Linked DNA regions of Rhinolophus ferrumequinum. The protein of the gene in region 2 interacts with the protein of the main gene of each other region in a pairwise test. Links are inferred from orthologs where the notes say so. Each region holds a gene or a part of one and is shown on either strand. Other genes may lie near its edges.

The links. The genes of interacting proteins can lie anywhere in the genome.
Region 1: the proteins of BCL2L13 (region 2) and TMEM86B interact in binary tests that used the Homo sapiens proteins (3 or more experiments, as listed by UniProt). The two-hybrid records come from large-scale screens. The link is inferred for Rhinolophus ferrumequinum from reciprocal best matches to the Homo sapiens genes BCL2L13 and TMEM86B.
Region 3: the proteins of BCL2L13 (region 2) and PLP1 interact in binary tests that used the Homo sapiens proteins (3 or more experiments, as listed by UniProt). The two-hybrid records come from large-scale screens. The link is inferred for Rhinolophus ferrumequinum from reciprocal best matches to the Homo sapiens genes BCL2L13 and PLP1.

The regions. Positions count from the first base shown.
Region 1 is NC_046298.1:48,413,608-48,420,766, reverse strand, and holds TMEM86B (lysoplasmalogenase), read left to right. Parts: upstream 1-4,092; 5' UTR 4,093-4,969; coding exon 4,970-5,020; intron 5,021-5,275; coding exon 5,276-5,558; intron 5,559-6,180; coding exon 6,181-6,563; 3' UTR 6,564-6,897; downstream 6,898-7,159. Other genes in the region: PPP6R1 (serine/threonine-protein phosphatase 6 regulatory subunit 1), read left to right, coding at 1,568-1,707, 1,787-1,967, 2,072-2,142, 2,294-2,375, 2,697-2,807, 2,888-2,959, 3,046-3,049. UniProt on the Homo sapiens protein: Catalyzes the hydrolysis of the vinyl ether bond of choline or ethanolamine lysoplasmalogens, forming fatty aldehyde and glycerophosphocholine or glycerophosphoethanolamine, respectively and is specific for the sn-2-deacylated (lyso) form of plasmalogen.
Region 2 is NC_046293.1:91,128,249-91,135,689, forward strand, and holds the start of BCL2L13 (bcl-2-like protein 13), read left to right. Parts: upstream 1-4,411; 5' UTR 4,412-4,576; intron 4,577-7,441. UniProt on the Homo sapiens protein: May promote the activation of caspase-3 and apoptosis.
Region 3 is NC_046284.1:51,142,042-51,149,043, forward strand, and holds the start of PLP1 (myelin proteolipid protein), read right to left. Parts: upstream 3,068-7,002; 5' UTR 2,780-3,067; coding exon 2,776-2,779; intron 1-2,775.

The DNA.
Region 1 (7,159 bases), on a different chromosome or scaffold from region 2:
ACTGATTTGAGAATGAGAGTGTTTTAACTTTTTAATCGATGTGTAACAAGCATGCAGACGAGTATACGGATCCTGACTGTATGGCCCCATGGACCTCCGTGGCCCTTGCCGGCCACTGTCCACCCTTCCCAGGTTGACGCTGTCCTGACATCTTGTCCTATAGATCAGTTTTGTCCCTTCTGCTTTGAGGTTCATCCTTCTGGTAGGTGTGGGTATGTTCACCTGCCATCTGTGGGTGTGCCATCATGGAACTAACCAAGTTCATTGCCCTTATGTGTGTCCTTGAGGAATCCAAGGCAGTGATCCACCCGTGTTTTCTTCTGAGAATTGATAGTGTTAGCTCTTACATCTAAAGTTGGGTCCATTCTGAGCTAATTTTTTTGTACGTGGTGTGAAGTGGGGTCCAGCTTCATTCTTTCGTGTGTGGGAATGCTGCTGTCCCAGCATCGCTTGTGGGAAGGACTGTCCTTCCCCCACTGAATGGTCTTGGCACCCTTGTCGGCAGTCGATTGACTGTGTGGAGGGTTTCCTCTGTCTGTGCCGGAGCTACTTGGTCTTGATCACTGTTGTGTTATAGTAAGTTTGGAAGTTGGGAAGTATGAGTCCTGCCACGTTGTTCAAGATTGTGTTGAATCTCTGGGCTCTCTTGAGATTCCGTGTGAATTTTAGGATCAGCTTGTCAGTTTCAATAAGGAAGCTGGCTGGGATTGTGAGAGGGATGGCCTTGAACCTGTAGGTCAGGTTGGGAGTGTACCATTTAATGATATCCCATCTCCTAATCCATGAACATGGGATGTGTTTCCATGTCTTTAGGTCTTTTTTACTTTCAACAGTGTTCCAACAGTGAATGTTCGGTTTCCACCACTGAGTGTGGTGTTAGTTGTGGGTTGTGGTGCACGGGATTGGGAAGCTCTCCTCTGTCCCCCGTTTGCCGAATGTCTTAGTTTATTTTCAGTGAGAAAAGATGTATTCCTTTCCACCATTTGCTCCCGTGGCGAATGGTGGGTGCGTTCAGCATTTGCTCAACCATTCCCCATCGGTGGACATGTAGGCCAGTAGGACTTTGTCCATGGTCTCGAGTCATGTGTTAGTCAACACTCAGCAGTGTTTTGGGAGCAGCTGCACGTGCCAGTGCTGCTCTAAGCTGAGGATACACTGGTGACAAAGGTACTCCCGAGTTTGTAGTTGGGGGAAGAGCATCAAGTCAGCCCACCTGCGAGGGCGGTTCAGGCGCCAGGAGGGCCTGTGAGCGAGATGAGGCGGGGCCTTTCTCCCCGTAATGCTGGCGTTGGCACTCTCCACTGACCCTCGTGCTGCCCACCGGCCTGCCCATTGTGGGCTGTTCTCTGGGCATCTTGGCACACCCTGGGCCTAGGGAGGCCCTCACCCGTTCATCCCGGGGTTTCCCTGCTGTGTGTGTCCCCCCAATCCATTTTTATCATCTGTTGATTCCTTCACAGACTGCTCCCTGGGGTCAGCTCTGGGGGGGTCGGGAGGTGGGGACAGGGTGCCTTCCCACTCTGTCCCTGCCCCAGCTTAGCAGCTCATGGCTGCTTTCTGGGGGCAGGAGTGGAGGCAGCACAGACAGCGAGGAGGAGGAGGAAGAGGAGGAGGAGGACGACGAGGAGGACGACGAGGAAGACGGCCGGGTGGCTCGTGGAGGGGCCGGGCCCTCCTCTTACCCCAGCCCCGGCCCACAGCCTCCGGGTGGGTGAACACGCAGGCAGGGTGTGGTCAGGGGCTCGCGGGTGTCTGCCTGCTGTGCTCACTCTTGCCCCCACACCAGGCCCCAGCTGGACAGCTACCTTTGACCCAGTGCCTACAAATGCCCTGGCTGGCTCCCAAGACTCCGGGGACAAAGAGCTGTGCTCTGGGCCCCCTGTTTCCCAGGGGCCCCTCTGCATGCCCCAGGACCTCCCTGCCTCCAACGGGGCCGGCCCTGCAGCCCCCAACGCCCTGCAGCTCAGGTGAGGCTAGGAGGCAGGACCGGGAGGCGGAGCCAGGTTCTGGTTCCCTTTTGCTCCAGGGCTGACCCCAGCTGCCCACTTGGGCTGTTTCTCTCACCTCCCAGGTCTCAGGACCCCACACCCACCTCAGCACCTCAGGAAGCCACAGATGGCGGCAAAGTAGCAGAGCCCTCGGGTGAGCCCCTGCCACTGTCCGTCCAGCATGCCCTCCTGCCTACCGTCCCCCCCGCTGCGGCCCTCCCCCTGCTGTCCCCTGGCCTTACACACACCTCCAGTCTGGAGGACTTGCCAAGTCTCACATCTCTGGGCCTCTCTCCTCTGCACAGCCCCCTGTCGGGCCTTGGTCAGCTTCGGGGACCTCCAGGCCACCCTCAGAGGGACAAGCTCTGCCCACAAGTCCTTGGACAGGTGACTGGCTGGGGAGCAGCTTCTGGGGGGCCGCGTCGGGGAGGTGAATAGAGTCAGGCCCTTGGGTCGTCCCTGCCCCAGGGCTGTACCTGTACCCACATGGGAGCCATACAGTATCCTGGAGCCCAGGGCCCCCAGCCCAGCCTCAGGGGCAGGAAAGAGGCTTCCAGGAAGGACAGGAGTGTGTGGAGCCCGTCGCAGCCAACCTTGAGCTCCTGCCTGGGACAGCTCCCAGGGTCTTTGGATGTGAGGCCCTGGGCTGTGCCTTCCTTCAATACTCAGCAAACAGCTGACGGTAACCCCACTGACCTCTTCCCACAGTGCAACCAGAGACCCTACTACCTCTGTCCCAGCCCCTGGGGCCTACCAGCCCCCCCAGACCGTGGAGGGGGAGAAGAGCCCAGAGCCCTTGCGGCTCCCCCAAAACCAGAGGTGAGCATGGAGAGACCCTGCAGCGGGTGGGGGTGGTTTGAGAGGAGGCACTGACCCCTCATGTTCCTCTCCCCTGCTAGTGCCCAGGCCCTCCAGCTGCCTCCAATGCTCAACACCTCTGCCCCGGGAGGGCCAGTGTCCCCAGGCTCCCAGTGAGTGGCAGGGGCCAGGGGGTCGGGGGTAGGGGCGGCGGGTGCGCCGGCGAGCTCCTCACTCAGGTGTCCCTCTTGGTTCCTAGGTAACTGCCTGGTCCCGGTGGTGGCAGCCAAATCTTCGTCCTGCATGTGGACCCTGCCCGGGCGGGGGCAGGACAGGTCCCACAATGGCCCGTTGCCCCATCCCCCCATCCCCACCCCCCACGTTCTCTCCTCTGGACTCCCAGGAGGCTGGTGCCAGGGAGACAGGTCCCCTCCCCCCCCCATTTGCACTGAGAAAAGAAATGATGGAGTTTTGTCTCCTAGAATAAAGATATAGAGTCCAGTAGAGAGAGAGAGAGAGAGAGAGAGAGAGACCTATATTATATATTATATATATATATTGAGGGAGGAGAGAGTGGGTGGGAAGAGAGCCAGAAGGAAGCCACGCCCCAGGGCAGGCGGGGTGGGAGGTTGGACCATCACCCTGCCCCAGCTGGGGCTTCACTGGGGTTCCCAAGACACAGTCTTCCCTCTCCTCCCACCATGCTCCTTCCTCCCCACCCTCCTCACCCCGTGCAAACACCCACACCCACACTCGTCCTTTCAGCTCAGGTCCACCTGGAGGGGAGGGCCCGAGTGGGGGCCGTGCCTTTGCCCAGCCCCTCACCCTGGACCCTGCACTTTCCCCCAGGCTGGGAGCTAAAGGACCCTCTGCCGGGCCTGGTGGCTGTCTGGGACCTGGGGGTCCCAGTCCAAGGGGGCCTCCCTAGTGACATTCCCATGAGGCCCTGATACACTCATGAGACCCTTGCACCTCCATGGACCCCAGCGTGGGGGTCTGGCAGGGGTCCGGCTGGGGTCCCCCTCCTGTGCTTGAGGGTCTGGGGTCCAGCCCAGCTGCCAAGTGACCTTGTCCCAGCTCCCTGTCCCCAGGCTGGCGTGAGTGTTGTGTGTTCGTGCCGAGCTTCTATTTCATATTGCAAATATAAATAAATAAGACAGTTTAAGAGTCCTGCCATTCAGACCTTGAGCTCTGGGACATGGGGTGGGGGGGGCCTGAACTGTCCCCGCACCTCCCTCAGCCTCTGGGGTTTGACCTTCAGAATGTGGAACTAGGCTCTTAAAACTCCACACACTCTTGGGGGTGGGACTTCTGCTTAGACCAGGAAGGGCTTTCCTGGGAGGAGGAGCTGGGCATTGCCCAGCCTTATCTGGGAGCCGTCTCCGAGGGTCCCCTTAGTCTCCCCAACCCCACATGTCCACTGCTCACCCGTCACCTACCCTGGCCGGCCGCGGAGGGGACCTTGTGGAGCTACGTGCCCTGAGCCACCTCCTTTCTGGTGGAGCAGTGGGAGGCTGGGGGCAGCCAAGGAAGCGAGCGAGTGAAGCCAATGGGTGCCCAGTAGGTCTGTGCCCTCCAAAGGGGAAGTTAACGACCAGACCTGTGTGGGAAGACTGTTCTGGTGACATCCAAAGCTGTGGGCTGCAGGCTGATGATGACCTCAGACAACTGTGGCGTTTGATCAGGAAGTGCTTATGGTGAAGGCCACGGCATGGGGGTGGTGCAGAGTGGTTTGGGCTCTCACCGGGAAGCAACCATCCAGAGGCCCAAGTGTAGGAAGGACCCCTGGGTGGCCTTCTTGGGGTCCCAGAGTGGTGAGGGGTAGAAGGCAGCCTGCCTCTTGTTCTGGCAGGGTGGTCCCCCCACCCCACATGGAGAGGAGGGCATTGAGTGGCTAGGCACAGGACTAGAGGACAGGCATTTGTACCCACAGCCTCCCAGGCAGAGGGGGAGGAAACTAGGTCCTGCGGGGGCCGGAGGAGTGACCCCTGCAACCTGATGGGCCACCTTATCAGCAAGTGCCAGGCAGGGCCATCGCCGGGTGGGGGAAGCATCTCCCTGAGCCGATATCAGTCTCAGAGTCCACAGGACACTCCCGGGTTAACGTGTAACCGTACGCAGTCCCCTCCACTTCCAAAGCCACCGGTGCCCATACAGACCACTCTGGGGGGTCACAGGCCGATATGGACGCCCGGAAAGAGGGGCTGCCCCGAAATCCTCACTTCGCAGTCCAAGTGAGAGCCCCTGAGTGTGGGAGGGGGGCTGGGCCTGGGTTCCTGGGGACTCAAGCAGCCTGGAGGAATCGGGGGGCCCTGGCCTCCCCATAGGCTGGGTTCTGTGGGACTGGAAGTCCTGGGATCCCTAGGTGGGGGTGGGATGGAAGCCCCAAGACTTGAGTTTTGGCCGGGTGGGGCCTGACCTCCAAGGGCCGGGGGCTGGCAGGGTCCCTGAGGTCAGGTGGGTTCCCGAGCCTCATCACAGGGGGCTAGGCTGAGCTCCAGTGGTTCAGCAGCCCTTTGTTCCCGAAGCAGCCACACCTGGTCAGGTGCCTGAGCCCCTTCTTCCTCACCTGTGCCATCTACTTCCTCCTCTGGATCCCTGAGGACCCACCGTCCTGGGTTGGTGCCCTGGTCAAGTGCCTGCCTGTGCTGTGCCTGGTGGGGTTCCTGCGGGCCTGCTCTGGCGGGTGCTACAGCTGTCTCCTGCAGGTGGCCCTGCTGTTCTCAGCCTGTGGGGACGTCTTTCTCATCTGGCCCGAGGCCTTCCCCTACGGTAGGCAGGAGGAGCAGGGCCATGTTGTCTCTTTGGGACTTCCACACTGAGGGAGGGGTCTGGGGTCCAGGGGCGGCTACCCGATAGCACCTGCCATAGCCAGGTGGCGTTCAAAGGCACTGGGGTATAGCAGTGACCAACACCCATCCAGACCCCTGTCCTCATGGAGCTCAGTCCACTGAGGGGCTGGGCAGCCTTCCTTTAGAAGGTGTGTGGCAGGCATGGAGGAAACAACAGAGGTCTAGGTGTCACAGCCTTGAGTAGACTGGTTGAGGTTGGCCTTGCTGAGACAGGGACATCTTGGAGGGGATGCAGGAAGGATGGTCCAGGCAGAGGGGCAAGCAAGGTGGGAGTGTGCCTGGTGTGTGCGTGCAAACAGGTCTGGTCATGGAGCAAGTGGGAAGCAGTGGTGGGGGAGGGGTGTCAGTGGACAGTTCTGAGCAGCCTAAGGACAGATCCCACCACGTGGCCCAAGGGCAGGGGAGGCGAGGCCACCAAGGAAGCGGGGTGGCACAGCCGGGGTGGGAGCTGGTGCTCGGGGGCAGTCCTGACCCTCAGGCTCGGGGGTGGAGAGGCAATGCAGCGAAGGCCTCACTGGGTGCCCTGAACCTGTGTCCTCCAGGCGTGGCTGCCTTCACCAAGGCTCAGATGCTCTACATCTGGGCCTTTGGCCTCAGGCCCCTGCAGCTGGGCCTCCTGCTGCCTGTTGTCCTGGCCTCCCTCCCGTTCTACTGCCTCCTGCGGCTGCACCTCTCCCCCGACATGGTCCTGCTCCTGACAGCCTATACCCTGGCCCTCGCCACCATGCTGTGGCGTGGCCTGGCCAGGGGTGGGAGTGCCCGCTGGGGAGCGCTGCTCTTCACCATCTCGGATACCGTGCTGGCCTGCAACACCTTCATCCAGCCCCTGCCCCACGCCCGCCTGGTGGTCATGGCCACCTACTACGCTGCCCAGTTCCTCATCTCCCTGTCGGCCTTCCAGAGCCCCAGGCTCAAGACCAACTGACTGGGCGTCCAGGCATGCAGACATCTGCCCCCTCCTATCCTGCAAGGACCTCGACCTCCCAGAAAGGCCCAGTGAGGGAAATGCCCTCGGGTCCGGGAGCCAGGCTCCCAGACTCCCATCTGCAGGCGCCGATCCATTTGGAGATGTGTGGGAACCGTTTGCAGAATTCGAAACCACACCAAACACCCTCCCTCTGTTCTGATTCCAGGTTCCAGGCCCCTCAACCAGGCCTCTGCCTGCTCCCGTGACCCCAGGTGGCTTCCCACGCCGCCTACCCCCGTCCTTCTGGCCCTAATCTATCTTTGTTACCTGAGTAAAGCTGACATTGAAACGACATCTCCTTTATTTGGGAAGGGGTGTTAGGGAGAGCGGTGATCACAGTAAGAAAAAACGTTTTATTCCTTTTTTACCTCCAACAAAATTTATCATTTAAGGTGTATGATTCAGTGACAATGAAGTACACTCACAGTGGTGTGCACTGACTAAAATTCTCGAGGGCTGGCCCGGTGGCTCAGGCGGTTGGAGCGCTGTGCTCCTAACGCTGAAGGCCACCAGTTCGATTCCCACATGGGCCAGTGAGCTGCGCCCTCTACAGC
Region 2 (7,441 bases):
TGTTTTTTTGGAAAACAGTGTGCTGATTTTTATGATTTATTTATTGAAATTTTGAGACATTAAAAATACAGAAAAGTACTGTGGATGAAAACAAAGGTGTTCTTTGGAAGAAACCTCAAAGGGTGATCTATCTGATCATAACTTTCTAACTGAGCAGGTCATGGTGGGTAGTCACGCCCTAGGCATATAACTTCTTTGGTAAAGGCTCATCTTTGCCTTCAGCAAGGCCTGTCCATTGTTTCTGTGCATCCAAGTTAACACACCTTAGAAAGAAACCATAACCACCCCCAATAAAGCAAATAAACTTGCTAACTATCCTGCAATCCAGTTCACACCTTTCTCCCACCATCATGTAATCTTACTTTCCCTCCTTATTTTCAAATGCATAAAAGAAGCTGCAAAACTTTCATTTTCCAGAGCATTTGATATCTTGCTCTCCACCATGTCAGTTTGGCTCACATAAACTTATAAAAATTCTCTACAGGTTTGGATGTTTCTTACATCAACAGTACAAAGAATAATTCAAATAGTAATTATGTACCACCACCCCAAGTTGACAATTAGTATTTGTCCCATTTGCCTAAAGCCTTCATTTTTTTTTTTTTTTTTTTTAAGATTTTCTTGGGGAAGGGGAACAGGACTTTACTGGGGAACAGTGTATTTCCAGGGCTTTATTGGGGAACAGTGTGTTTTTTCCAGGACCTATCAGCTCCAAGTCAAGTTTGTCCTTTCAATCTTAGTTGCAGAGGGTACAGCTCAGCTCCAAGTCCAGTTGCTGTTTTCAATCTAGTTGCGGAGGGCGCAGCTCACTGGCCCATGTGGGAATCGAACTGGCAACCCTGTTGTTCAGAGTTCTAAACAACTGAGCTATCCAGCAGCCTCAGCCTTCATTTTTAAAATAACAGAAATAGTGTTACAGACATAGTTAACATCCCCTTTTGTGCATGTTTCCCCTCCCTCATGTTAATGCTCTTGACAAATAGTTCTGCAGTATTTTGCTGATTCACCAAGGAACAGGCCAGGTCTTGTCGGATAAGAACGTGGTAAGCTTCACAGGTACAGTCTCTGGAGTGAAAAAGATATTGTTAGTATGTACAAAGATTAGTTGGTAGTTTTCCAAATCCGCCTGTGTTAGCTTAGGTCTTATGGAGAAGCTTTATTAAAACAGTTTTTCAGGTAAATTCCAAAATCCCACTCCTCGATAAGCCTATTTACTTATGGCTTCACCAAAGCACCAAAAGCACTGACCTATATTCAGGTCAGCTTAGTCACAAAGAGATGGTTTACTAGCTCTTTGTCTCACCTGCTCCCAAGCTGAGGATTCAGTCTGGAGAGAGAGAGAGAGAGAGAGAGAGAGAGAGAGAGAGAGAGAGAGAGAGAGAGAGAGAGAGAGACAGAGAGAGAGAGAGACAGAGAGAGAGACAGAGAGACACAGGAGGTTGATAGGTCAGCCGATAAAGGAGCCTGCACGGTCAGGCAAGTTAAGAAAGTTTATTGTAAGAGAGCAAAGTCTATGGGGCCGTGCAAAGAAGGCTATAGCCCTTGAGGAAGGAGGTGAAGGGGGTTATATAGGGGGCGGTGCTCACAGGGTAGCATTGTTTGAACAGAAAAGGTTGACTGCTTGCCAGGCAACTGCCTGTAGCTGTTTTGAGGCGTTTTCTGTTATGGCAAGTTTGGCTCTGTCTGCAGGCGCAGGCCAACAGATATTTTGTTTTCTTGCAGACATGGCTCTCTGAGACCTAACATTCAGAGACCTAACAGAGATGAAAGTAAATCATCTCTCTTTGAAAGTTGAGGAATTAATTTTAAAGAGAAAAAACAAATGGTAGCAGAAAGTAGTGAAATTCTAACTTAGGCACATGCACTTTTTGCCACTTTCCAACCAAGATTCCTCATAGCAGAAAGAGTGAAAACCTAGATGGCATCTAGTCACCCCCGAATTTATAATCCTCTAGTGGCTTCTATTTGCTTGTGAACACCTTACACCATTGTCCGTGTGAGCGCTGCCTGGCTCGACCTGGCCCTGCCTGCTTGTCTGAGCTCATCACCCCTCTTCCCTTGCTCTCCACCTCAGAGCAAGGCTTCTTTTTCACCTCAGAGCAAGCCACCTCAGAGTAACTGGCTTCTTTTCAGTTCCTGGAAAACACCAAACGTTTTGCCTGAGAAGTTCTATTCTCCCTTAGTTTGTTTTTCATTGTTTAGGTCTCAACTTAAAATATCCCCTTCTTGGAGAGAGCTTTTCATAAACACCTTTTCACCTTATTTTCTATTCCAGCCCCTTTTTTATTTACTTTAGGATATGCCACAATTAAATTTTTTTTCTTTTAATTTCTAGGTTTTTGTCTGGTTTTCCAATGATAATGTCAGCTTCACTGGGACCATGTCTGACCTACACTCATCCAGCACACTGCCTACTACATAGGAAGCGTTCAATAAATGAGGAATGAGAATGAATAAAATGAGTAGAGTCTAGAGGTTAGAATTTATAATCACATCTGGCTGTAGGCTAGAACTCTGTATCACTCATAAGATCTGTCAAAACAAAACCGCATACACTGCTGTGATGAAAGTAAAATAATTTCTGTAAAAGACTATATTACTTTACACCATCTGCTGAAAAGACTATCCCCTTTTTCCGTTGAATTGCCTCGACACCTTTGTCAAAAATCAATTGACCATTCTGGAATTGCTATTCTGTTTCATTAACCTACATACTATCCTTATAGTACACATTTAAAAAGTAAAATAAAAAAGGGAAAAAAGCAAACCCTAAAACTGAAAGCAATCTGAAAGAAATGAACCTAACCGTTTATCAAATTAGTAACATAATTACACAGATTTATTTCATGTGACTTTTTGGGGACAAATTTACATACAATGAACTGCACAGACCTAAAAAGTACAATTAGATGAGTTCTGATGTCTGTGTGATCACCACCCCAATCAAGATACAGAATATTCCCATCATGCTAGAAAGTTCCTTTCTTGTCAATCCCACATCCCCTGCCCCAGGCAATAGTGTGCAGATTTCTATAACCATTAATTAATTTTGCTTATTTCTGAAATTTATATAAACAGAATCACACAGCATGTACATTTTTGTGTCTGGCTTCTTTCCCTCAACACAGTGTTTTTGAGATTACTTTGTATGCCACATATCAATGATTCATTTTTGCTTTATGCTGTGTAATTTCCATTGTATGAGTATACTTCAAAAAGTCAATGTTATTTAAAATAAGACTAGGAGACTAATAAAAATGTAACACCAAATGCAATGCATGACCCCTTTTTTAAACTATAAAAGCCATTAGGACAATCGCGAACATTTAAATATGGACTGGTTATTAGGTACTGCTAGGGAGTTCCTGACGGCCTTCTTAGCCCACTCAGCCTATTCTCGGCAAACCTCTATTAATGCACCGCCATTTTCTCAGTCACACAGGCTTAAAGCCTCTTATGAGGCCAGCTCTAGCCTTCTTTTCAATTCCCATGCACTCTCATACTAGTTCAGGTTCTGTTTTCTTTATTGAGCTATAACTCACATATCATACAATTCACCTATTTAAAGTGTAAAATTAAATGGTTTCAAGTATATTCACAGAGCTGTGTAACCATCACCCCCAAAAGAAACCCTGTACCCATCAGCAGTCACTCCTCATCAGGCTTTTATCATTCCTGATCTGCCTCCTTGCAACAGCATTCTAACTCATCTTCAACGCTCTCCTTCCAACTTATCTCATGTACACACTGACAATTGGATTTCCCTAAAGCGTGGTTAAAGATACTAGGCCCTCTCAACTAGTTACCTTCAGTGATTGCCACAAAGGACGCTTGGGTTCAAGTAAATAAACATCCATTAGCAAATTCTATTCCAGGCCCAGCGCTGGGCGCTACGAACACAATGGATTACCACTGAAGATTCCTTTTATTTCCACAGTGCTTCTGCTCAAGCAGGGCCCTCCACCTAGAATGACCTCTCTACTCCCAACCCCCAGAAATCTTTTCTGACAAGTGGTTGCCAACTCTGCAGCTCTCCTGACATTCTTGACAGTTCTCGAACACGGTCGATTACACACTGAAAGCGCAATACTTGTTTGTTTAATACAGCCGTAGAACATATTCTGTGGATACGGAACATAGTTCTTGGAAGCAGCAATGCTTCTTGTGGGCATCGCCAGCTCCTCTCCCCTCGTCAGTATCCCACCTCCCTTCCATCAGCCCTCAATGACCTCCACCAACCCCAGGAATCACATTTGAGCGACTCCTGGGAAAAGAGGGATCGGAGAGGTCGACTCTCCTGGGTCACACCTGCACGAAGACACCTCCAAAACTGCAAGGTCCGTACTTCCGCTGGGGAAAACGAGCCGCCCCTTCCGGCGCCCCACGGCGCCCCGGCCCGCCCCGCGCCGGCGGTGACGGAAGCACGCCGGGGGTGACCTCACCCTCCAACATGGCGGCGGCGGTAGATTAGGGTCGCCGGTCGCAGCAGGCACCGCCGCTGGGGGACCCTGTCGGAAACAGCTGCCGCCGCCGCCGCCGCCTCTTTCATCTCTTCTGGGGCAGGGGCCAGGGCCAGGTGAGGGAAGTGGGGTTCCGGGCAGGCAGAGCTGGTCCTCACTCAGCTCCTCAGGCGGTTTTTCACTGGGTAGGGAGGTGTCCAGAGACTGTGCCGAACCACCGGCCCCTCAGTGGTTCCGGCGACGCGCGAGTGAGTGTCCGTGTCTGACCGTGAGTGAATGAGTGTGCATGTGTACTGGCGCTTCTTCGCCCGAGGGTTCTAGAAGCTTAAAGGGCCCATTTCACCGTAGCTGGACCTGTCCAGCAAGGTCCCGTCGCGAACGCTTGTGGAGCGGGGCTTCCTGCGTGGGCTGCGGGAGGCGAAGGATCCCGGCTCCGGCTCTGCACCGCGGTTCTTCCCCACCGATACCCTCACACCGAAAACCCGGCTCCATTTTTAGAACCAGGCTGGGGAACGTGGGCTTCTTTTTGGTCGAGGAAAAGGTTTTCTTGCGATTCGTTTAGAATTATAGATTAGCTCTGCCCATCCTAGTCGTTTCTTCTTAACAGTGTTAGAAATTGTTTATGCTTTCTTCACTGCTGTTCTGACACCCATTATCATTTTTTCAGAAAAACCCTCCATACCCTTGGATGCAATAGTTTACACTGTGTTGTTTCTTACTTTGATTTCTATCTTCTCACCATTCCAAGGAGATCCCAAGTTTCTTTTCTTTAATAACTGACTGAAGGAAAACTAGACTCTTGAGTTGAGGCTTTAACGGGGTTGGAAATCGGACGGAACTGGCCAGCTCTTCACAGGCTCCTGACTGCTAGCTTTGTTTAGCTCTTAAGCACTCCCCGCACAAGTGTGTGTTTTTCCAAAATAGCTATCTCATCGTCTCTATTTAGAAGTAAACTGACAGTCCCTCCTTAACCCCCACTTCAATGACATAAAGCAACCAACAGAAAGTCTTTGCGAAATTTTTAGTAAGAGTGCCCCTGGGAGTTTGGTGTAAACCAGAATGTTGATCTCTGCTCTGACTTGTGTGACCTTGGATAGTTTGCCACACCCTTCTGATACCTTCTTCTTTCCTCCCAGAAAATTAAGCAAGTGTTTGTGTAAGTAGTGAACTATTTATACCTCATACACACAGTTGGATAAATATACACTGCACATTTGCACCTGCAAATTGAAAATATTTACACCGTTATGAAATATTCTTCATTTGATGATAGGCCATTAAGGATTTTGAAAATCCTTTTACTCTCAGTAAATACCATCTAAGTATTTTTTTTTTTAATGACTCATTTTCTCATGGAGAACTCTACCTCAGTAGTTGAATTCAGTTGGAGGATATGTAAGGTTGAGTTCATCCTGTTTTGTAAAGAAAAAATGTGATCACTAGCACACCGGTTAGTCAATATTTACTAAATATCTTTTTTTTTTTTTTTTAAGATTTTATTGGAGAAGGGAAGCAGGACTTCATTGGGGAACAGTGTGTATTTTCCAGGACTATCAGGGAAGTGTGTTTTTCCCAGGACCCATCAGCTCCAAGTCAAGTTGTCCTTTCAATCTTAGTTGTGGAGGGCACAGCTCAGCTCTAAGTCCAGTTGCCCTTGTTCAATCTTAGTTGCAGGGGGCGCAGTCCACCGGCCCTTGCGGGGGTCGAACCAGCAACCTTGTGGTTAAGAGCATGCACTCCAACAAACTGAGCCATCTGGCTGCCCTAAATATCTTAAATAAGAAGTTGTTAGGACAAGTGATTTGCAACTATAATAATCATTGTTTAAAAAGATATTTCTTATGAAATATTTTCAATGTACGAAACAGAAGTTTTAAACAATTAGTACTGCCATCCTGCTTTTTATGACTGTTTTCCAAACATGATTTTGGTTCATATCTTATTCCAAATATATGGTCACCAAGAATTCTTAAGTAATACATATTACAGAGTTGAAGGGAGCTGGACTCTTTTAAACAGCTTTATTGAGATATAATTCTCGCATACTGGTACAACTCACCAATTGCACAATTGAATGGTTTTTAGTATATTCACTGAGTGTATAACCATCACCACAATTTTCAGCACCCCAAAAAGAAATCTGGTACCCATTAGGAGTCATTATTTCCACTCTCCCCCACCTTCCCTACCTGGGCAACCACCGTTTTGCTTTCTGTCTGTAGATTTGCTGATTCTGGATATTTCATATAAGTGGAATTATGTAATATTTGGACTTTGTGACTGGCTTCTTTTACTTAGCATAATGTTTTCAGGGTTCAGCCATGTTATGGCATATGTCAGAACCTCATTCCTTTTTATGGCCTGATATTCCGTTGTATGAATATATCACATTTTTATTTATCAGTTGATGGGCAGATATTTCCACTATTTGGCTGTTTTATATATAATGCTGCTATGACTATTCCTGTGCAGGTTTTTATATAGGCATGTGTTTTTATTTCTCTCTGGCGTATATACTTAGGAGTGTAACAGTAACTGAATTTTATGTCTTCCTTTTACACAAGCTATCTACACATATGGGAATCCTAACTTACTGTGAAAGTCAGACTGTGTTTGTATGTCTGTGGGGAGAGAGTGAGAGTAAGGCTTTCCTCCATAAGTATATTATTATCTGGGAGTGCCAACTGCTGAGTGAAAACATTTTTGGGCAGATCTTAACACAAGATTGAACTGGAGTGTTTCAATTAGACATGTTGCAGTTGGAAAGGGATAGCCTACATTAGAATACTTAGGTTTTGCTGAGTTTTAAAAATGACACGTTGCCCAGTTGCATTTCTCAGCTGGATGGGGTGAATTTTTGCAATTTTACAGTTTTTATTAGGATTATTTAATTTTACCTATTTTCTTTTGGAAAAAGTCTTAGAATTCTGTAGGAGCTAGTAAAGCATGGATTAAGAAAATAGAGTTATTGGATTCATGTT
Region 3 (7,002 bases), on a different chromosome or scaffold from region 2:
TAGACAGTTTTGAGAGAGTAGTTCTAATTGTCGGGCTGTTGAGTAAACCTGTTTTCCTAGCGCAAACCTAGGATGAAAGCCCCTTGAAGCAGAGCAGTCTTTTCTATCAGCCTGGCTCCCCAAGAGCTCCTCTGGCTCTGCAAGGCCTAGGTCAGAAGTGGGGTAGGGAAGACTATCTGTGATCATTTCAGACAATGTCTCTAAGAAGCATAAATGAACGTGCTGGTTAGGATCTGGTTGCTTTTTAGCTCCTGGCATTCTTACGGCATTCTTGCTGTCATGGGGGGACTCAGTTAGTCTTCAGGTGTTGTGTAAAACTGGACCCCTGCTCCGCCTGTACACTTTTTGCCCGGGCTACACCCACTTACTCTGAGCCAGCCAAAACTACACTGTTCAGCAAACAGCCACCTTTAGAGAGAAGCATCACAGTCTGATTACCAGGGTAACAGCCACTGTTCTCAGAAACAGGCTTGCAGAAGCCAACATTTTGCTCTTCAGTAATGGCATTGTGTAACTGAGCAGAGAATAATCAGCTACTTCCCTTTGGCTCTTTTGCAGTTCCGTTGTTATCCCAAAGACTCATTTAGAACATTCTCCTCCCAAGTCGGGACAAGATTTAATGAACTATCATTTTCCCCATAAACCTTTTGTGCAGACACTGCTGAATTCAGTGTTCCTCTTTACTTCCAATCCTATGGGATTCTATATGGTTGAGGTAGTGAGCTCCCTGTTCCTGGAGGTGATTAAGAAGAGGCTGTAGGAATGTTTATTTGGCTGTTGTAGAAGGGACTCCTGCATTGAGATTTGGCTCAGACAGCTTCTAAAGTTCCTTTCAACCCCAGATTCCATGATATAATTTGTCTACTACAATTGTTAAACAGCTACTCACTCCACTTCAGAAGTAGTAACAGTTCAGTTCCTTGTTGGAGATGGTCTATTATTTACAAAGTATCTGAGATACTTTGTTATTGAATAACTGAAAACTCAATGACTACTCCATCATATGCACCTGGCCCAAGTATCTCCCACCATCAGAATCTGGGATACAATACGAGACCTCAACTCTGCCTTTATCTGTGGCAATCTCCGCGGAGGAAATCATCCAGCTTCCATAACAAGAAACTGTCCCTGTGGTCATCTTATTTGTTCCTGTCTTTTCCTCGGGGCTGTAACCCCCTGAGGAAGCAATATTCAGCATGCTTCTTTACTCTCGCTCTGTTTTTAATTCACAAACTACCGAATCAGCTGCCCTAACATTAGGTGACATTTCTGATGTTACCTTGGGCAAAAATTGACTTTCTCCAACATTTGCCTCTCACCTGGCCACACTCAAGTGGTCAAATGATTCTTACCCAAGTGTACAAAGTACAGACCAAAAAAAAGAAAACAAGAAAAAGAAAAAATAACCACTTTGGAAAAAGTAAGAGTCAGCCTGCACACAAGTTATTGTATAATAATCAGTATTATCATGATTTACAATTGTTATAGAGCTTGCCCATTTTCAGAGGACTTTCACATTTTTATTACTTGATTTTTACAACCCGAAAAGTATACAAAACAGTTGTGATCCCCATTTTCCAGATGAAAAAGTGATAACTCACAGTGACCTACCCAAGGTCATGAAGTTCATAAGTGGCAGATCTGGGATTCCAACCTGGTTGTGTTGTCTAGTCCAGTGCTCTACCTTCTTAATTATCCTACCTGAACATATGCTTCCAAGAGCTCTTTCGGTGTTTCAGGATGAAACAATCTAAAGGCTGACACCAGCTTAATGGAATTGAAAACCTATCTTCCTGGATGCTCCTTGAGTCTTCTGGGTACTACATTTGATGGTGAATACACAAGGCAATTGACTTTCATTTCATTTAGGATACATTCAAGCTGCTCCTCTTGTTTTTCCAGATGGGAGCAACGTCTACACATCTCTGTGGCATACTGTGTGAACAAAGACTCTTCTGCTCTGCACACCTTGCTCTGAGTAGACACTACCAGAGATCAGAACTCGTAGCTTCTCTCTTTTATCATGGAACCTAGAGAAGCTCTCAGTACTCAACCAAGTCAGCAAGATCCCTAAGGTCCCTGCAGCCTCCTTGTCAAAGCAGGGATTTAGAGTCTGGGCCATGCCCTCAGAAAGGGTAAGTCTGTGATATTTGCTAGATATGGTCACCCATACACATGCACGCACGTGCACACACACACACACACACCCCTACTCATATCCATTCCCTGTGGTAAAGCCATTGAAGACTTTATTTTCATTTCCTGAACTGAGATTGGCCTCCTCAGCTATGGCCAAGCCTGAATCCAACTTGCCCAATTCCCCAGTTTCCTACTGTTGCAAACAGGTCCAAATTTTGTATCAAGCAAGCAGTTATTTAGTATATCTGAGGGCTAGCCAGCACTCAGTTGCTTCCAGCAGAACCAGGGATGTCAGCTGACCTGGCCATTACCAGGGCCTGGGAACCAGGGTGAAAGAGAAGGTAGAAGGAAGTGAGGGGGTAGGAGGACACATGACCACATCCAGCCCGCTGGGCACTCTCTCCAAGGACCTGTGGGACTCTCCACGCACTGCTGGAATTCTTTGGCAATAAAGCATCAATCTCAATACAGCAGAGAAGGAGTTAATCCAATTGAGTGCTAAGGAATTAAAAAGAAAACAAATGCCAAAACACAACTCATTTAAACTATTGAAAACCCGGAACCCCAAAGTTGGAAATTCTCTTGAGCATTCCTGTGCCTGCTTGAATCTTCCATGCTAAAGTTTTTGAAACTCACCCATGGCTTTGGGACTCTGACTGCAATTGTAGCCGGCTGGCTAGTCTGCTTTGCGGCTGACTTTGTGCAGCTGGAAGGATCCTGGTCTCTCCAGTCTCCTTCTTCGGTCCTTTACTTTTTCTCTCTGAGTATCTTTGTCCTCTTCTCCAGCAATGAAAAGGGCTTTCTGATTGACAGCCAACCCCCTTAAAGGGACAGGCCCGCTTTCCTCCTCCTCTCCTCCTCCCCTTCTCCTCCTTTGTCCCCACCTCCTCGGGGATACTCCCTGCTCTAAGGGCTCCATCTTCTCTTTCTGCCTTTCACTGCCAATTGTTTCATTTTCTTTTTTTTCCTAAGACTTGTCTGTGTGGAATTTCACTTTGCTGAAGAGACATCTGGAAATGTGGTTTTGGGGTGGAAATAAAAAGAAGAGGTCCTGGAAGCCTCCAACTGATCCTCAGATCTATTTGGTGTAGGATGTGACCGCACAAGTGTCAGAAGCCATGGAAATGGTAGCTCTGGTGAAGGGTCAAGGTCAAAACCCACATGCTATCTCCCAGAGTCTTTCCAACTCTGGCCCCAACCCCACCCCTCACTCATAGCTGCCCTTAGCCTTGTCCACCTTTCCCTTCACCTGACTCCTTAGCAAATAAGCACCCCCCCACACCCAGCTCCATAAACACAATAAAGAAAAATTTGTATTTTAAAATAATTTCCTCCAAATCCTCCAACTGAATGAGGACAAAATACAAGCTGTTAATTCCACGAACAGATTGTGATAAAGCTAGAGGAGGCTAGAATTATAATAATTTTATCGAGAGGACAACAGAGACCCAGAGAGCGGGCAAGACCTGTGCAGGTTCACAGAATAGGCTAAAGAAAATGTCAGAGTTAGGAATGTGGGTGATTTCCAAGGAGGGTAATTGACTTTGAGACAAGTCAAGAACATGATCTGGGAATCACGTAGTCAGTATCCCATCCCGAGAATGTAGTATCATCAGAGAGCTGAGGCCAGGCTGGTGAGAGGCAGGGAGTGGGTTGGGTTGAAGCAGCAGGTAACGGTGAAGGTGGAGAGAAGGCGAAAGTAAATATAGTGCTTGCCTCAGAGAAAGAAACACTAAGAAAAAATGGCCAAGCAGCAAAAATAGGGGAATAATATATGAAACCTGCTTTACCAATAATAGGTGTTTCTAAAGACTATGAAGGTATTTGAGTGCCCAGGGCCAAGTGGGATTAGCCAGGGAAGGTTTTCTATTATAGAAAAGATGAATCTTAACCAGTGTCTATCTAGGCTCCTTGTTAGTGTTTTCTATCCCTTCAGGAGCCTCAGAAAGGCATAAATCTCTTGAACCTGAGGCCCACATCCTACCATGGGTGGCCTGTAAGGAAACTGGTTGGCAAATAACTGGAGGAATACCTGTTGGAAGACTCCAAGGAAAGAAGGTATGGACCCCTAGAGTTTTTCCTATGGCTTTGCCTTGGGGTCAGAAAGGAGAGGAAGGAGGTGCTGAATAGAGCTTAGAATCTTCCTGTTGGGGGAGAGAGCAAGATTGTGTCTTACAGTTTTCTCTTTGAGCTGTGACCTTGGACTTGTTTCTGGCTTGGGCTCTGTCATTAGGAAAAGAGTGAGTCTCATGCAGATGCCCTTGTGGGTCTACTAGAGTCCTGCATCCTGCAGTGTTTAAGGCTCTTATAGCAGCTCAAGGAGAAAGGACCCCTGTGAAGGCTGCCTCTTTTGCAGAATAGTACAGTAGGCTTCCAGAGCAGATCAGACTTAGGCCGTATGACTGAGGGTACAGAGGCCCGGGACATCTGACCTCTCCAGCCTTTCTCTCCAGCCATAGATTTTACCTGCTGAGGTAGCTGAGTTGTAAGATTGTGCCAACAATTAACTTCTGGATGGTTCTTGTCAGAATGGCCCTGGAGAAGGAGGATCAAGAGCAAGAAATCCCCAGATGTGTGCCCTCAGCTCCTCAGATGACAGAAGGAACTGAGTCCAAACTTTGGAGGTTCTGATTTAAGGATGAGGGAGATGGTTTTTCACAGCCCGAATAGATGAGATAGCCCTGCATGCAGGGGACATTGCTCATGCTGAGCCCTCTCACAAATCTGCCCCTGGATTCTCAGCAGCAGCAGCTCTGGGGACTCCTTGGCTGTTCGGAAAAAAAGATGTATTCCCAATAAACCCGCAGATACCAAATTTTCAACTATGTTGACCTACCACACATTTCTCTTCGTCTTTCCTCCATCTCTATTGCCTTACTATTCATGCTGTCTTTTCCCCAAGTCTCAATCTCTCTGTGTCTCTGTTTCTCTGTCTCTGTTTGTTTCTTTTTCTCTCTCTGCACTCCTTGATGGAGTATGCCTTCTTGTCTCCATCTTGTTCTTATGCCCAGGAATGGGAAAGGGGCTCGGCCAGGTGACTGTGTCATGCTTACTGTCCTTGGTGCCTTAAGATTCCCAGTTCCCCAGAATCTAGCGTGCTGCAGGCAGTTACTCTGGAGTCCTGACACTCTGCCTCAGCACCCACTCACCACCCCTTCTCCTGAGCCTTTCCCACAGCCTTCATAGGGTTTCTGGTTTCCAGACTCCCAAAGGGACTTTTTTATCCACCCAACCCCACCTATTCCTGTGATTCTGTTTCCAATGGTTCTACTGGGTGCCCTTGGCAAAATGTTTTCCAGTCCAGCTGGGTACCCAGCAGTGCCCAGGGATTCCTCAAGAGGGCACTGCCAGCCTTCTTGGTGGCAGCCTGCTGCCTGCACTGGGTGCCTGTAGGAAAAATGGAGGATTTTATGAAACTAATAAACAGTTGGCTTCACTCAATTCTGATAGTATCTCAGAGGAGAGGATCTTGGCCCCCTTGATCATAGCTTACTTTGGTTGCGCAGCTTTCTTGCAAATAATTACAAAACATTTGGGTATTACCCTCCACTCTCTGCTCTGTGATCCCACAGTACCTGGTTTTTGAAGGCCACTGGACATGTGGGTTCTCTTTGCTCCGTTGTATAGAGTGAACTCTGAAACTCAGGGAAGTGAGTTTCTCCCAGGAAATTAAATAAGGGCTCAAGTGCCCAATCTGGTGGTCCACTTCTCCATGTCTACATAAAAGATCGCAAAGGGGAACAGAGAAGGCACAATACCAGTGAAAGTTGGGGGGTCACCTGCCAGCATTTGGGCTCCTGGAGCTGAGGTTCTGCTTCTCCTCCCCAAGATAATGTCTTCCCAGATCAAGCTTAGGAATGCAAGAGGCTTCTTCTTACAGCTTTTCTAGCCCTGACACAGAAGGCTGGTTGGCTGGCTGGCTGGCTGGCTGGCAGGCAATATATTATGCTCTATGTACTTGCTGATAGAACTCCCCACACCCAACCTCATGCCGATTGGCTTAGCCGTGCCTTTCTGGCCAAGAGAACTGAGGGCTGAGGGCCAGAGATGTCACATACTTTGAGCTGGTGTGGGCGGGGGGAGTGGAGGCTGCTCTTCTTCCTCTCCTGAAGATTCAGGGAGCAGTGCAAGGATGGATGGGGGCAGGTGATGAGTTGGATATGTATTCGAGAAGGGGAGATGCCCATGACTTGGGGATAAAGTGCAAGGTAGACTGGAAGCCAAAATAATCAGATTAATAAGCCCAGGAAAGGAGTGCCTGGGGAGCACCAATCAGCTACTAGCACCGTGGATAAATCAGTTGTCCACATAACCCACCTCCACCAACATGGAAATTTGGCCAGCTTTGGCACAGTGGGCCCTGCAGAGAGGCGGCATGTTTGATATGATCTCTGAGCACAGCAGAAATACTTCTACTGTCCTTGGCTGTCAAATACCCAACTCCTGAGGATCAATGTTTTTTTGTTCCATTTTTCTCATGGGGTACAGAAAAATGCCACCCAGCAGGCAAGGGACAGAGCCACCTCGAGGTAATGCATCTTTCCAGACTCACATTGCTTCGAAGTTGCTTGAGAGATTGTGCTGCTCCAAAAGAATATCTGAATAGAAAGCCTCTGCCCTGAGCAAGAACAGCCACTGGGAGGATGAACAGGCTTCAGGCTGCTGTGGCCCGAGTCTCCAACTCTCTGCACTTCTCAGGCTAGCAGGAGGCCCACATTAGAAATCCAGGCAGGGCAAGTGGTATGCAGTTTATAGGATCCGTGGGATTCAAAATCAGTCAGTGGGGATCCGATAATACTAAGGACTTTGTTACATTTGTTAGGCATGGTAATAGCATGGTGATGGTGGTTTTAAAGAGTTCTT